Sus scrofa: one gene and its partner. The protein of the gene in region 2 binds, or shares a complex with, the protein of the main gene of each other region. Links are inferred from orthologs where the notes say so. Each region holds a gene or a part of one and is shown on either strand. Other genes may lie near its edges.

Evidence for each region.
Region 1: PIGH (region 2) and PIGY share a complex: the UniProt entries of both Homo sapiens proteins name them as parts of the glycosylphosphatidylinositol-N-acetylglucosaminyltransferase (GPI-GnT) complex. The link is inferred for Sus scrofa from reciprocal best matches to the Homo sapiens genes PIGH and PIGY.

What each region holds. Positions count from the first base shown.
Region 1 is NC_010450.4:130,524,361-130,532,016, forward strand, and holds PIGY (phosphatidylinositol N-acetylglucosaminyltransferase subunit Y), read left to right. Parts: upstream 1-3,210; 5' UTR 3,211-3,282; coding exon of another isoform or gene 3,283-3,485; intron 3,486-4,583; coding exon of another isoform or gene 4,584-4,725; 5' UTR 4,726-4,814; coding exon 4,815-5,030; 3' UTR 5,031-5,623; downstream 5,624-7,656. UniProt on the Homo sapiens protein: Part of the glycosylphosphatidylinositol-N-acetylglucosaminyltransferase (GPI-GnT) complex that catalyzes the transfer of N-acetylglucosamine from UDP-N-acetylglucosamine to phosphatidylinositol and participates in the first step of GPI biosynthesis.
Region 2 is NC_010449.5:91,311,273-91,318,870, forward strand, and holds the start of PIGH (phosphatidylinositol N-acetylglucosaminyltransferase subunit H), read right to left. Parts: upstream 5,077-7,598; 5' UTR 4,974-5,076; coding exon 4,794-4,973; intron 184-4,793; coding exon 1-183. UniProt on the Homo sapiens protein: Part of the glycosylphosphatidylinositol-N-acetylglucosaminyltransferase (GPI-GnT) complex that catalyzes the transfer of N-acetylglucosamine from UDP-N-acetylglucosamine to phosphatidylinositol and participates in the first step of GPI biosynthesis.

The DNA.
Region 1 (7,656 bases), on a different chromosome or scaffold from region 2:
TCCCAGCCATGTCTGTGACCTACACCACAGCTCACGGCAACACTGGATCCTTAATCCACTGAGCGAGGCCATGGATCAAACAGGCGTCCTCATGGATACTAGTTGGGTTTGCTACAGCTGAGCCATGACAGGAACTCCAAGGGATTTGATTATTATTAGTTTGTGGCTGCATCTGCAGCATGTGGAAGTTCCCCAGCCAGGGACTGAATCCCAGTTGCAGCTGTGGCAACCCTGGATCCTTTAACCCTCTGAGTCAGGCTGGGGATTGAACCTGCACCTCTGAAGCAACCCAAGCCCCTGCAGTTAGATTTTTAGCCCACTGCACCACAGCAGGAATGCCTATGGAACTCGCTTAAAATGTATATTCTAGCCTCTCCACTGCCTGGAGATTTCTAACTCACGTAATGGGTGTGATAACCTAAGAGTTATGTTTCAGTATTATCCACACTGGAAATTATCAAAATTCCACGTTCAGTTAAACTAAAGGTTCCCAGTGGTATACTGTGATTTCCTTTCTTATCAGAATTTTCTCCATCTTCAGCATAAGGAATTCCACCGATCTGCTGACATTCTTATAATGTGTACTCTGTACCAGCCCCCATGCTAGCTGCTTGACTTGTATGAATTGATTTAATCCCCTCAACGACCCTAATAAGGTAGGTAGTATGATGATACTATTTTACAGATGAGAAGATTGAGGCAAAGAGTTTTCAGAGGTCACACAGCTAATATGGTACCTAAGCCCAGAGCTCTGTGATGGGAAAGATCCGAGCCATGCCAATAGTAAAAAGGACCCATTTCACAATTTTATACAATTTATACAATTTTATACATTCAGCTCAGGATACTACCATGCAGAAATAAGTTGGATTCCTTAATTTCTGAGGGCTGTTGAGAAACATTTTTGCTTTGACATCTTGCAACTTCATATTTACATGGTTTCGGCTAATACTTCACACTCTCAGATGTTCCTTAAATACTGGATGTTGATTTGGGGTGTTATAAACTTGAGATATTGTCGATATTTTGCTAGTACTCTCCATTTCTCCCCAATACTAATATAAATTAAACTGATCTGCTTCCAACCTTCTTCGTGGATGCACACTGAAGCTATTTATAACTGGTTAGAAAACTCAGTTGATGAGGCTCTATCAGCCAGGTGAGGTGAGTTGAGACTAAAAAGCTTGTCTTAAGCATGGGTGCTTGCTCCTACCTTGGGGGCTGGGTTCCGGCCTGGCCCACCAGAGCTAGCCAAAGTCAAGCTCTGCATTGCAATACCTTGCTGAACCCTCTTTCCTATACCTCACTCCTTCCCTAGAGCCCAAGGTATCAACTAACTACACCTGAAAAATTAATTCCTACTATGGTCTAGTGGGAAATAACATAGGAACTTAACAACGGGACCTCTTGAGGCTACATCCCTGACAGCTGCCTCAGGCTGAAATCTTTTGCACATTAGTGAACAAAGAGCATCCAATGATGTAGTAGATTTTTTAAAGTAGAGTGAACAGACAACACAAATTGCCTCTGCTTTTGCACTGCTGAGTGGAAGAGAAATTTGGACATACAATCTTGTATGTGTATCTATATATCCCTCAACTCCTATCCCCACCTCCCAGGAGCTCAAAGTGTGAAGTGGTAAAGCCCCAACGATGCAAGAAAAGATTCAATATTTAGCGAGACAACGAGAAAATTTGGACGTTCCCCTCGTGGCTCAGCAGGTTACGAACTCAACTAGTATCTATAAGGATGCGGGTTTGATCCCTGACCTCGCTCAATGGGTTAAGATCTGGCTTTCCTGTGGCTCTGGTGTACGCTGGCAGCTGCAGCTCGTATTTGAGCTCTATCTAGCTTGGGAACTTTCATGTGCTGCAGGTGCGGCCCTAAAAGGACAAAAAAAGGGGGTGGATTTTGATGACTAACCAAGAATCTTCTAGTATACTGGGCTGCAAAGAATAGAGAAAATAAAAATGACAACATATGCCATTAACTGAGCATTCATTTGCCACAGGCATTTTTCTAAATACTCTTTGCATTCATTAGCACATTTTAAGCCCCAGGATGGAATTATATGAGGTAGGAACAATAATTAATCTAATTACACAGATAAGAAAGCTGGGGAGGGAGTTCCCGTCGTGGTGCAGTGGTTAACGAATCCGACTAGGAACCATGAGGTTGCGGGTTTGGTCCCTGCCCTTGCTCAGTGGGTCAAGGTTCCGGCGTTGCCGTGAGCTGTGGTGTAGGTTGCAGACGCGGCTCGGATCCCGCGTGGCTGTGGCTCTGGCGTAGGCCGGCGGCTACAGCTCCGATTCGACCTCTAGCCCGGGAACCTCCATATGCCGCGGGAGCGGCCCAAGAAATGGCAAAAAGACAAAAAAAAAAAAAAAAAAAAAAAAAAGAAAAAGAAAAGAAAGCTGGGGAGTTAGGAGATTTGCGGGAGCCCTACAACTAGTAAACGATGCACCTGGGACCAAGGTGTCAGGCCCGGACCCCCGGCACTTACCTCCTACACTATAAGAAAGAGATCAAATCCGCATCATTTTCTGGGAGAGTCAGAAGCAAATGCGGGGCGAGAAAAAAACCACTGTGTGGATCACCCACTTAATTAAAGGACACAGTTACTTAGACTCCTTGCGGTTTCCAAGCTCATTTACAGAAGCAAATGAGTGGTGCTATTATTATGCCATTGAGCCCAGGGTAAGAAACTGGGCATCTTAAGTTTAAGAGGACTAAGCCATTCTTTTCCCGTTCTTATATTTTTTTTAATGAAAGGAGAAAAAAAAAAAGCCAAACAAGGTTATAGGAAGTGTGGTACTGCAAAGACTGACAGATACACATAAAACAAGTAATGCTTTTTAACATACCCAGTGTGACAGTGTGTTGGAAACCTCCTTTTGGTGATAACCACGGAGGTCCAAGTCTATCACTGTGTGACTCTGAGGTCCGGCCACTGGCTTCCTGGAGGCCCTGCGACAGGCCCTGGTGAAAACTCAGGACGCCTCCACTTGAGCGTGGGTTTTGTCTGCAACCTGCAAACGGGCAGGAAGAGCCGCAGAAAGCCCAGGCTGCAGGCGGGGCTCTCCATACCGAGCGGTGCCGCGGGAAAAGCAGTCGGGTCCCGAGCGCCCTCGGAACCAAAGAGCGGGCCTCCAGCCGTCGGGGGCAGCGTTTCCCGAGCACCGGGGGGCGGGGCCTGGCCGCCTGGGCGGGACTCCCCGGGATCGGCTGGAGCGGCCGGAGCGGCCCAGGGGGTGCGGAGGTCCGCGCGCCGGCGGCCAGACCATGCTGAGCGGAGCGCGCGGTCGGCTCGCCTTAGCGCTGCGAGGGACACGCGCGCCGCCGTCCGCGGTCGCCAGGAGGTGCCTGCACGCTTCGGGCTCGCGGCCGTCCGCGGACGAGAACAAGAAGGAGGGGAAACCGCCACGCGCCTTCGACCCGGCGCTGCTGGAGTTCTTGGTGTGCCCGCTGTCCAAGAAGCCGCTCAGGTAAGATTCGTCCGCTGCGGCTTTTCCCTGGTGGCCCCCTGTCGCCGGGGAGACGTTCAGGTCACCCGGGTGTTCTTCGCTGCCATGTTTTGGACCCGGGCCCGCCAGCTTCCCGGGTACTCGCTCCGCCGCGGGAAGGGCGGGAGGAGGCCCCAGCCGAGCCCCAGGCCTCCCGGACCAAACCGGCCACTCGCAGGCCTGGATCCTGGCGGGCAGCTTCTCCGCCGGCAGCGTTTTAGAATCTCGGGGGAATCCTTCTTAAAACGCAGATCTCTAGGCAACGCCCCACCCGGGCTCAATCCGAAGGCCTTGGGGCCGAGCCAGAGCAACTGCGTATTTTCTTGAAAGGATCCCAAGTGATCTTCCTGTACAGCCAGGGTTATGAACTCGGGATTCGGAAGACTAATCCATGGCATTCAGATTTTTAAGGCAAGGCGATGAAAAATGTGATAGCTTCCAGATTGTTGCGAAAACGCCGGGTAGGATCTTAAGCGCATCAGCTACGTGTGCGGCCCTTTGGTTTTTAGTTCTCGACCAGCCGGTTCTGTAAAGGCCTTCTTAACCTTTCACCTAGACTCTTTAGGATAAACATCTCTGCAGTTGCAGGCTGCTAAACCTGAACGTGGACAATACTAGCAAACACCGCAGTGTCATCAGTGGCTGCCTTTGGGTGGTAGATTGCTGCTTCCGTGGTTTCCTTCTCATGGATCAGTGAGGCAGGTGTTCTGATAAGCGAAGAAGCTGAATTTTCCTCTCGTGTCTGTTCCAGTAGTAAATTAGCTGGGATCGTTTGAGGGTTTAAAAGAGTCATGAAGGAATATTTGGATGAAAAGGAGAGATCTTTTCTTTTTTTTTTTCCACTAAGGCATAGCTTAAGAATAACGTGAAAAAGAAAATGAGAGAAACAGACTAAAATGGGAACAATTAGAGATTCCTTTTCTAAGAGAAATGGTTGAATTGGCTACTGCTGCTTTTAGAATGAAAAACAGTCTAATTCTGCTTTTCTGGCTCTAACTGTGTGAAGAATTGGATAAATGTTACTGTTTATTGAACCTCAGACTCTTCCGGGATTCATTTTGGTTTTCTTCTGCCCCTCAGATATGAACCATCGACAAATGAATTGATTAATGAAGAGCTGGGAATAGCCTATCCGATTATTGACGGGATTCCTAATATGATACCACAGGCAGCTAGGATGACACATCAAAATAAGAAGCAAGAAGAAATGAAGCAGCACTAGGTCATACGTAAACACAACACAAGGAAATTTTCTAAACACCATCCACCTTCGAAGAAGCCAGCGTGGCGGGTGGTGGGTGGGAGAGAAGAATGTTTCTGTCTCTTCCCACGCTGACTGTCCTTGTCCCCCTGGTCTCTCTGGGAGGACTGCTGTACTCCGCCTCCGTGGAAGAGAGCTTCCCCCAGGGCTGCACCAGCACAGCCAGCCTGTGCTTCTACAGTCTGCTCCTGCCCATCACCATCCCCGTTTACGTGTTCTTCCACCTCTGGACTTGGATGGGTATTAAACTCTTCCGGCATAATTAACGCAGCCGGAGCCACGATGGTATTTAAACTCATGATATGCTTGAGTGAGTGTGTCCGAAAGCTCCGCCACATGGAAATACTGGAAACCCAGACTTTGCAGGAAAGAGGCTTTGCTTATTAGCCTTTGTCAGAGGTTTAGGACTATGTGACGTTTAAGCTGCAAGAGGCTTCTTTCTTGTATTTTGGTTCTTCCCCTGCTTTTTGAAGGTTCTGATTTATACCTGGTCTCTCGGAAGAAACATTTCAACAAAGTGGCTTGTTGGAAATTAGCACCCCCACAGCCATCATCTGATGGCTTGTTCTTATCCCATTCATAATTAAAAATTACTAATTCGAAATTGTAGGTTTGTTTTTAGGTTCAAAGCCTTTGGTAAAGCCACATGTGAAGGATGACTGAGATAATTCCAAGGAGCTATGGGGAGTAATTGTAGAGAAATGCATTTGGACTAGTGTGATATAAAACTATAATAAAATGTAAATTTCATGTACTTGCCAAAATTCTGAGTTGGTAAAATTGCCTTCATTTCTTTGGCATCAGATGGCTTACATTATTAATAAGATATTGACATTTTCCATAAAACAATTTGCAGTTTTGTGTTTGGTTTTTTTTTTTTTTTCCTTTTGGTCACAAGAATATAATTCAAAGACAAGGAAATTATATGTTTAGAGAGGCACCCAAAATAGAACAGAATTTCCCAGGAAAGTATGTGCTGTGAGGAGAGGTGGAATTGAAAGACTGGCAAATAGCTGATTGTGTCCTGTTGAGTTTAGTTAGGGCGATTATTGAGCCACATTTCAGTTTATTTTTCTGCCATAAGAGACCTATTTATTTAGCAATACTAAGGGCATGAGCATTTGACACATTAATAGTTATTGATTTTCCAGAATTTTCAATAAGACTGATTAGTACAATAACTGTTTCAGAAGTATAACAAATGTTTCAGTATTTACCCTCATGAAGCCTAAGAACTCAATGTAACCTTAACTGATTCTTAATAGAATTTTAAAGTAGTGTAAAAGAAGCTTTAGACAGTGATTCTTCCCCTTAAAAAGAAAATTTAAAACATGAGGTTAGGCATTCCCGTCGTCGTTGTTGTGGCTCAGTGGTTAATGAATCCAACTAGAAACTGGGGGGTTGTGGGTTTGATCTCTGGCCTCTCTCGGTGGGTTAAGGATCTGGTGTTGCGATGAGCTGTGGCGTAGGTCGCAGATGCAGAGCAGATCTGGCATTGCTCTGACTCTGGCTCTGGCTGGTGGCTACAGCTCCAATTAGACCCCTAGCCTGGGAAGTTACATAAGCCGCATGTGCGGCCCTAGAAAAAAATAAAGTATAAGGTTAGATGTGTTTTCTGTTGCATTAATTCAGTGTATACACTATAGTGCAAGTCACGTTTTAAAAATTACCCTGGGGGGTTCCCGTCGTGGTGCAGCGGAAACAAATCCAACTTGGAACCATGAGGTTGCAAGTTCGATCCCTGGCCTCGCTCAGTGGGTTAAGGATCAGGCGTTGGCGTGAGCTGTAGTGTAGGTCGCAGACAGGGCTCTGATCTGGCGCGGCTCTGGTGTAGGCTGGCAGCTGTAGCTCTGATTCAGCCCTTAGCCTGGGAACCTCCATGTGCCTTGGGTGCAGCCCTACAAAGAAAAAAAAAATTGCCCTGGGGAAAAATACAAATAATCAGGAGACAATAGAAGTACCTGTCATTTCCTGAAATGGTATTACTGTTCTTTTTAATTTGCCCTAAATATCTCTATAGTCAGTGTAAATGAAACCATTTTGCTGAAAGAACAAGCACCCTGTTCTGAAAAGTCAGTTTCAGCTTGCAAAAGTTAAGCATTTTAATCATTTTGGAGGAAACTGACTAGTGTCTCCCTGGGGGACCTCAGTGTTAACTCTATCCTTTCACTAGTAGAATTCCTCTAGCAATCACTCGTATAGTACAAGCTACATAAGGGATAGTTCTAATGAGCATATCACACACAAATATGAGGGGTTGGGTAGGAAGTATCGGCACCATTTTACAGGTAGGGAAACTAGAGCACAGAGATTAAGTGGTTTACCCAGAGTAACAATTAATACTTGAACTGAAGTTGAAACCACTTGGCGGTGTGACTTGCCTTCTCAGTCCCTGCAGAGCGAAGCTTTATTTTGAGCAAATTCATCTTTTCTATTTATGTGAAAAATGGAATGAGGAATCAAAATGCTTAGATTCAAATTCTGGCCCAAGCCTGACGCCCTTACTGTTTTCCTAAGTCCCGTATGTTTTTCGCTCTATTCTAGCACTTAACCTTGCACGTAAGTGCCTGTTTTTGATAGTAAATTGTTGGTTTTTAACCGAATGCTTAGCCCAGAGGCAGTAAGCACTTCCGAGAGGCAGAGGCAGTAAGCACTTCCGAGAGGCGTGAACGCATGGCTCCGACAAGCCTTCTAACTAGGCAAGTTCACATCTCGGCGCGTCATCCTCAGGCCCCCGAATCCTTCCCCGCTTCCTTTGTAAAACCGAGGAACAAGCTAACTCCGTGTGAAAGCACTCTGGCACCGACAGATGGCACGGCTGCATGGGGGGCTCTGGAGACCAGCTCCCCAGTCAACAACCCCAACTGGTGAAAACGGTAGGCAAGACCCTTT
Region 2 (7,598 bases):
ATCCTTCACCTTGCCCATCTCAATGAAGGTGGTGCTTTCTTTGCCTGAGGCATAGGATGAGGTCATCTGGATGCCAAGGGAATCAATGATTAACAGAGTCTCCTGATCAATCTTCACAAAATGGAGGTACCCGAGCAGGCCTAAGAGGGTGATGAAGATGGCAGCAGAGAGGATCATGCTGTTCTGAAGAGAGAGCCAGACACGGGCGGTAAGATTACCCAGTGGTCCTCCCCATAAATCTCTGCGGTTTAATAAGTCAACTTTAGGCGGTGGGAAAAAGCCTTCGTCCTATCCTGAGTTGAACAGATAGGAGGAACATGCAAGGAGGAAGAGGAAATGGCTTTTATTTGGTCTCTGTAGTGCTATAAAAGCATGTGATGAAATACACGCAGCTGACAAATGGAGAGGTCTAGGGAAAAGAACCTCCGTCAGCAAAATACCCACCATCACACCGCTCTCCAGAGAGTTTCCTTCCAGAATTGTAACTTAAGGACTCTGATCTTTGCTTCCCATGCTCCATCGGTAAAACAGACAGCAAAATCACCAACTGAATAATAATAAAATGCTTAGCACAGTGTAGCAGATAATGCTCAACAGCTACTCCTCCTTCCAAGGCCATCTCCAAAAGACATCTAAGAAGAGAAGGCCCCTTCATCCTGAGGTTTTGGTGCCTGGAACTACCTGGCCTCTGCCAAACCGTGTGGAAAGCTAGGCTGAGGACATCAAGGGTGAAAGAGCAGTACGATGAAAACACAAAATCATCTGAGTCTCTCATGCCTTCAGAGCCCTGACTTTTTGTTTTGTTAAATAATACAGGTCTTACCATCTAGGGCTAGTTTAGTTGTTTTGGGTTGTGGCTGACTGACCAGGTGAAATGACTAACTGATGTGTTAAGGGCGCCCAAAAAGGTATTTCTTTCTTTGAGTCTAAGACACATTTACAAACTTTTTTAACATTTCTTAAGTAGAAAGTTTCTATTGGGGTATGTTTCTTTCATGTGGCACTGTTTTCTCTTTTTTTTCCAAAAATGTCTTATTTAGAAGGATGGCACGGGGGGCGGGGGGAAATGATGACCTTGAATCAAAAGAGAGGGCAGGAAGTGTTTCATTAAACTTTATTATTGACAGAGTTCCCGTCGTGGCGAGGAGCAGTGGTTAACGAATCCGACTAGGAACCATGAAGTTGCGGGTTCGATCCCTGGCCTTGCTCAGTAGGGTTAAGGATCCAGCGTTGCCATGAGCTGTGGTGTAGGTCACAGACATGGCTGGGATCCTGCGTTGCTGTGGCTCTGGTGTAGGCCAGCAGCTACAGCTCCGATTCCACCCCTAGCCTGGGAACCTCCATATGCTGTGGGAGCAGCCCAAGAAATGGCAAAAAGACAAAACAAACAAACAAACACAAAAAAAAACTTTATTATTGACAAGACACCCTCTCTGACCTACCTCTAGTCGGGCTCTCCTAAGCATCGGACCTTGGTGTCCATACTTGTTGGGCCTGCATGGTCCAACAAGCTGTAGCAAGAATCTTGCCAAGTGAGTTTAGAGAATTTCTCACCCCTGGTATCTGATCACCTTGGAATCTGATCACCTTGGACTGCCTTTAGCAAAAATGCTGTCAAATCAGCTTAGCCAGAAGCCCCCTTTGCCCCTGAGGTTTTCTTTGAGTAATTTTCCACCCACGAACCCCCAACCCTGCTCCTTGACTATAAATTCCCACTGACCCCTGCTATATTCAGGATGGAGCCCAATTTGATACTGAGGTCTCTTTTCTCCAATTACAGTTGTTTCTGAATAAAATCTGTTTTTACCCCTTTAGCTACTGACCAGCTCTGGTTTTCCTTGAAAGTAACTTTCTACTTCTTTCTACGTTAACACATAGTTAAGTGTCAGATCAGAGGTCTGCAAACTGTTTGGACCTGTGATCTGTTTTTGTCTGGTCCACCTTCAGCTAAGAATGTTTTTTACATTTTTTGTCTTTTTCCAGGGCTGCACCCGTGGCATATGGAAGTTCCTAGGCTAGGGGTTGAATTGGAGCTGTAGCCGCCAGTCTACTCCAGAGCCATAGCAACGCGGGATCCAAGCCACATCTGCCACCTACACCACAGCTCACGGCAACGCCAGATCCTTAACCCACTGAGCGAGGCCAGGGATCGAACCCGCAACCTCATGGTTCCTAGTCGGATTCATTAAACACTGAGTCACGCAGGGAACTCTGTTTTTTACATTTTTTAAGGGGTTGATAAAAAGAAAGAAAAAGAGAAAAAGAAACAGAAGAATATGAGACAGAGACCTGTAAAGCCTAAAATATTTACTATTTGGACTTTTAAAGAAAAACTTTGCTGACCTCTGTGCTAGATAATCATTTGTGGATTAACAAATGGAAGATGGAGAAATCTTTGTGCTGGGTCTCTGATGATCCAGAAACACTTTTAGTTAACTGAGTCTAGCATCTAGTACAGTAGTGTCTTGTACACAGTGTGAACTGAGTTAAGTATTAGGAAGAGTGGAGAATGATAAAATTCGGTTCTGGCCCTTAGAGATTTATTAGAGGCAAGATCAATATATAAAAAATACTTTTGGAGGATACTGTGATACTATTCACTAGAAGTGATACTTTTAGAAGTGCCTAAGACTGGATTAAAAGAGAGAGAGCGAAAGCAAGAAAGAGACTTAAGCACACAGGAAGATCCCATGAAGACGTCCAAGGAAGCAGGATTTAGCTGGTACAGAGGAGGTAGTGGTTATTGACAGATATACTTAGCTGAGAAAAGGAAGGAGGTCGATATTCTAGGAATAAATAAAGACTTAGAATTCCAACAGAACTGTGAGTTCAAAAACTGGGAGGAAAGAAGGGATGAAGAACATGATATACTTAGGGGATTTGACCCATATTAGCATTTCTAGAAAGTAATCCTTGCCCCAAACTTCATTACTACCTACATTTTTTTTTTTTTTGCACTTTAGGGCTGCATCCGCGGCATATGGAGGTTCCCAGGCCAGGGGTCTAATCGGAGCTACAGCTGCCAGCCTACACCACAGCCACAGCAACACCAGATCTGAGCTTCATCTGCGACCTACACCACAGCTCACGGCAACATCAGATCCTTAACCCACTGAGTGAGCCAGGGACTGAACCTGCAACCTCATGATTCCTAGTTGGATCTGTTTCCACTGCGCCACGATGGGAACTCCACTACCTACAATTTTTTATACTTCATTTTTCTTTCTGAAATTCTAACAATTCAGTATTCGTTTGGGTTGAAGTTAAGCCACATGTTTTAAGGAATTTCTTCATCAGACTTCTCATTCTAGCTGAGATTCATTACTCTAATAGTTTTGAATAGGAGGAAAGAAAAGAAATTTTGGTGCACAGGGCCCTTAAGAAGTGTTGCAGTGGAGTTTAAAGGAAGCTGAAGTTACGGAGCCTGGACATTTGATGGGGTAAGTGGGATATACCAGGATGGGAGAAATGCATACAAAAGGGAGCTGGCACAATAACAAACTTCCCCTATTTAAAAATTTTGCCTAAGTAAGCCCTCCCCAAGGAGGAGACATCATAGTGTAGTGAGAAGAAATGGTTTCAGAGTCAGCCCTGGGTTTGAAACCCAGGTATGCCATTTACTAGCTTTATCACTTCGGATAAGTTATTACTCTGAGTCTTGATTTTCTTCTAAGGTTGAAACAAGGCATTTAGTAAAGCAGCAGGCACTTGGTGGGCATTTAATAAAAATACCTGTTCCCTCTTCCTCACATGACTACATGGTCAGAGCTCAAGCTCGTATTGAAGTTCAGCTATATTATATATTAAATCTTTTTACGGAAGGGGAAGGACGGTCCTGGCAACTTAACCAATTCGAGTGACTTACAAACAAGCTTTTCAATGCAATTTGGTACAAATTAATGGATGCAGTATGGGAAACAATACCCAAACTATAGAAATAAATAGCCTTGCTGTACTTAGCTCTAGTTAGGTCACTCCTGGGATAATACATTCAATTTAGGGCACTACATACGAAACTAAATTACTGAAGAAAACAATAAGGATGATTCCTTTTATTTGAGGGCTGTCACAAAGCCACTACATGTGACCCTCACAATGCTGTGAAAGTGGCGTGGCAGATATTAATTGCATTTTGGAGACGTGAACATTGAGGCCCAGAAAAAGGGAATGAGTCTAGAACTGAGCATAGAAACCACCCATGTCCAAAATTTCACAATTTAAGTTTGGGGAAGGGATCGGGAGGAGGAGGAGTTAGGCTGCCTTGAAAAGGAGATTAGGAAGAACTATATCAAACTCTTAACTTGCTTGTGTGAACTGCGGAGGCAAAGACACACGGAGGCAAAGACATTACTGTGGCGGCACAGGCAGTTTCTAGAAGACTTTAAGGTACTGTTAGCAGTGATTCCTCTGAGGAGTGGAAGTGATGGATGATGACGATCCATTTAGTTCTCTTGAACTCTTGGACCTGAATGACCATGCGCGTGGACTACAGAGAGCACGGGGAAGTTAATGTTTTGGACTGTCGTGCAAGGACGAGCTCCATCTGTATGCTGGGTGGAACCAGGGAGCAGAGCAGCGGCCCGTGAGCGGGATAAAGTACAGGAGCACAAACGTCACTAAACCTAAGGAGGAGAGCTGTCCAGCAGCGGAATGGCGTCCCCAGAACCCTCCCGTTCCCTCCCTCCAGCCCTGCGACTGGAGGAGGGTCCGGCGAGAGGTCTGGGCTCAACCCAAGACCCTTCTAAAGCCGAGCCTCCGACTCCGGCCCGCGGGAAGGGGCCGGCCGGCCTTACCTCGCAAAGCGTGAAGAGTCCGTAGGCCGCCAGCCACACGGTGCAGGTGACTGCGGTGAGCGAGCGGAACGAGATCCGAGGGCAGCTGAGACAGAACTCCCGGCAGGACGGGGAGTAGTAGCGCCGCTGCAGGGCCAGGCGGCCCCCGCAGATGTCTGAGAAGCTCTGCTCGTCCTCCATGGCCGGCTCGCCTCCACCAGGCCACGCCGCGGCGTCTGGCGCGCCCTCCAGCGTCCTCTCGCCGGCTCTGGGCGAGCTTCCCGAGCGGGGTTGGCCACGCCCCTCCCCCGGCTGCGCGCAGCCGCAGTTCCGCCGCCGACAGGAGGGACGCTCTTCGGGTTTAGGTTTTTCCACGCCCTGGCCCAGAGGGATTTGAAGATTATCTACCCCAGAGATTCAAAGGGGGCCAAGGCCTCAGCGGGCAGATTAAAACAGCTGTTAATGTGCTTTCGCCCAACAAACTGATTTCTATTTCTAAGCCAGAGTACGCCCAAGGAGACAGCCCGCAGGTATTTGTTCATTCATTCATTCATTCATCCCGGTGCAAGGTAGTTTTAGGTGCTGAAGGGGTACAGCGGTAAACAGTATTGACAAAATCCCTGCTTTCTAGTAGTTTCCTTCCTATTAAGAGAAACAATATGGAAATAATCTCAGAGTGCTCTTGGCAATAATAGGACCTGCAGGGCTACTCGAGGACTTTGAAGAGGACAGACGACATCCTCTGAGATGAGACACTGGAGCTACAAGTATAAGGTGCCAGACTGGTCTGAGGCAGGTCTGGAGAAGAAATTTGCCAGGAAGGAGGACCAGGAAAAAGAAAGCCCCCGAGGCTGGAACAAGATCGGCTTATTGAAGGAATCAAAAGGTCAGAGAGGCTGACGCATAAGGAATGCAGTCGGCTGTTGGGAGGTAGGTAGCGGTCAGAACCAGGAGGATTTTGTATAGGGCTTGGTAAGGAGTTTAGATCTCACTGGCTAGGTGTCCTCTCTCCCAAACCACTGCCTGGAGCATTGAGTAGGCAGACAAATCCTGGCTGGGAGGTTAGCAAGAGCGGAAGATGATGAGTCTAATTATTATCCCTTCCTTCTGCCATCAAAGGAGTTCCCTTTGTGGCCAGTGGGTTAAGAACCCGACTAGTATCCATGAACACCTGGGTTCGATCCCTGGCCGTGTTCAGTCAGTTAAGGATCCAGCATTGCGGGGAGCTGTGGTATAGGTTGCAGATGCAGTTTGGATCCCAAGTTGCTGCAGCTGTATCTCTGATTCTACTCCTAGCCTGGAAATTTCCATATACTGCAGATGCAGCCCTAAAAATTTTTTTAATTAAAAAATAAAAAACCAACAAAAAGAACTCGTAAATCTTATTGCAGTTTTTTGTGAAATTGATCAAGAAATATTTACATTTGGAGTTCCCGTTGTGGATCAGTGGTTAACTAATCCAACTAGGGACCATGAGGTTTCGGATTCGATCCCTGGCCTTGCTCAGTGCGTTAAAGATGTGGCATGGCCGTGAGCTATGGTGTAGGTCACAGATGCTGCTCGGATCCTGAGTTGCTGTGACTCTGGCACGGGCTGGTGGCTACAGCTCCGATTCGACCCCTAGCCTGGGAACCTCCATATGCCGCAGGAGTAGCCCAAGAAATGGCAAAAAGACAAAAAAAAAAAAAAAAGAAAAAGAAATTTTACATTAAAAAGACAAATATAACACATTTTGTTGACAAATTCCAGTCTTGCTGCTTGCTGCTAAAAAGTCAATACTCAAGAGGCAAGTGCTGGTAGAAACAGATTGCTTTAATCAAAAGCTGGCAATCTGGGGAGAAAGTGGACCCCTATAACAAGACCAGCTCCCAAGATTCTGTTTGGCCATGAAGGTTTTCAAGGGAGAAAGGGAAGTAATCTCAGTTAATTACTGAGGTAGGCGGTCCGATTCGTCGACATCTCCCACTGTGTGCAGGCTCATCTACTTCTTCTGACCTTTCTTTAGAGGCTATCTTGTTTACGCAGTTTGCTTGTGAGATTACTGAAGGGAAACTGGGGAAGAGATCTGGCCATCTGTGGCATTCCCGTTGTGACTTAGCGAGTTACAAATCCGACTAGTATCCATGGGGATGTGGGTTCAATCCCTGGCCTCGCTCAGTGGGTTAAGTATCTAGCGTTGCCGCAAGCTCTGGCGTAGGTCACAGATGTGGCTCGGATCTGGTGTGGCTGTGGCTGTGGCTGTGGCCAGCAACTGCAGCTCTGATTCAGCCCCTAGCCTGGAAACTTCCATATGCCGCAGGTATGGCCCAAAAAAGAAAAAAAAATTCTGACCAACTGTTAATGACTTATTGGTCATTTCTTTTTCTTTGATCTAAGGAACAAAATATGTGTGATCAATAGATTTGAAAGGTGTGCTTGGGCTGGAAGCTAGTTAAAATATAGCTTTGTTAAAGTGGCAAGATAAAAGGGGTCTCCTGCAGAGAGCTCTTTCTTGCAAAAAGCAGCTTACAGTTTCACCTTGTTTAAAATTCTATTTTGGCTTATCTATACAGTGTGAATATATGCTTCCTTATGTAGCTTTTTTAGTGGTTGCTCTAGGTATTATGTTACATATACAAAACTGTTTTAGAAAAAGCTTGGTCTGTGTTTCTCCTTTACCTTCACACTGCTACCACACTCACAATACTTCTGACACCAAATGTTAGGAGAAGTCCCCACACCAAGGGCAATAAATCTGTGACGCCAGTTGGTGTCAGTTCTGACACGATCTACCCAGAAATAGTATCAGATCCCACAATTAAGGGCTCGGTCCCACGAGACTTCTCC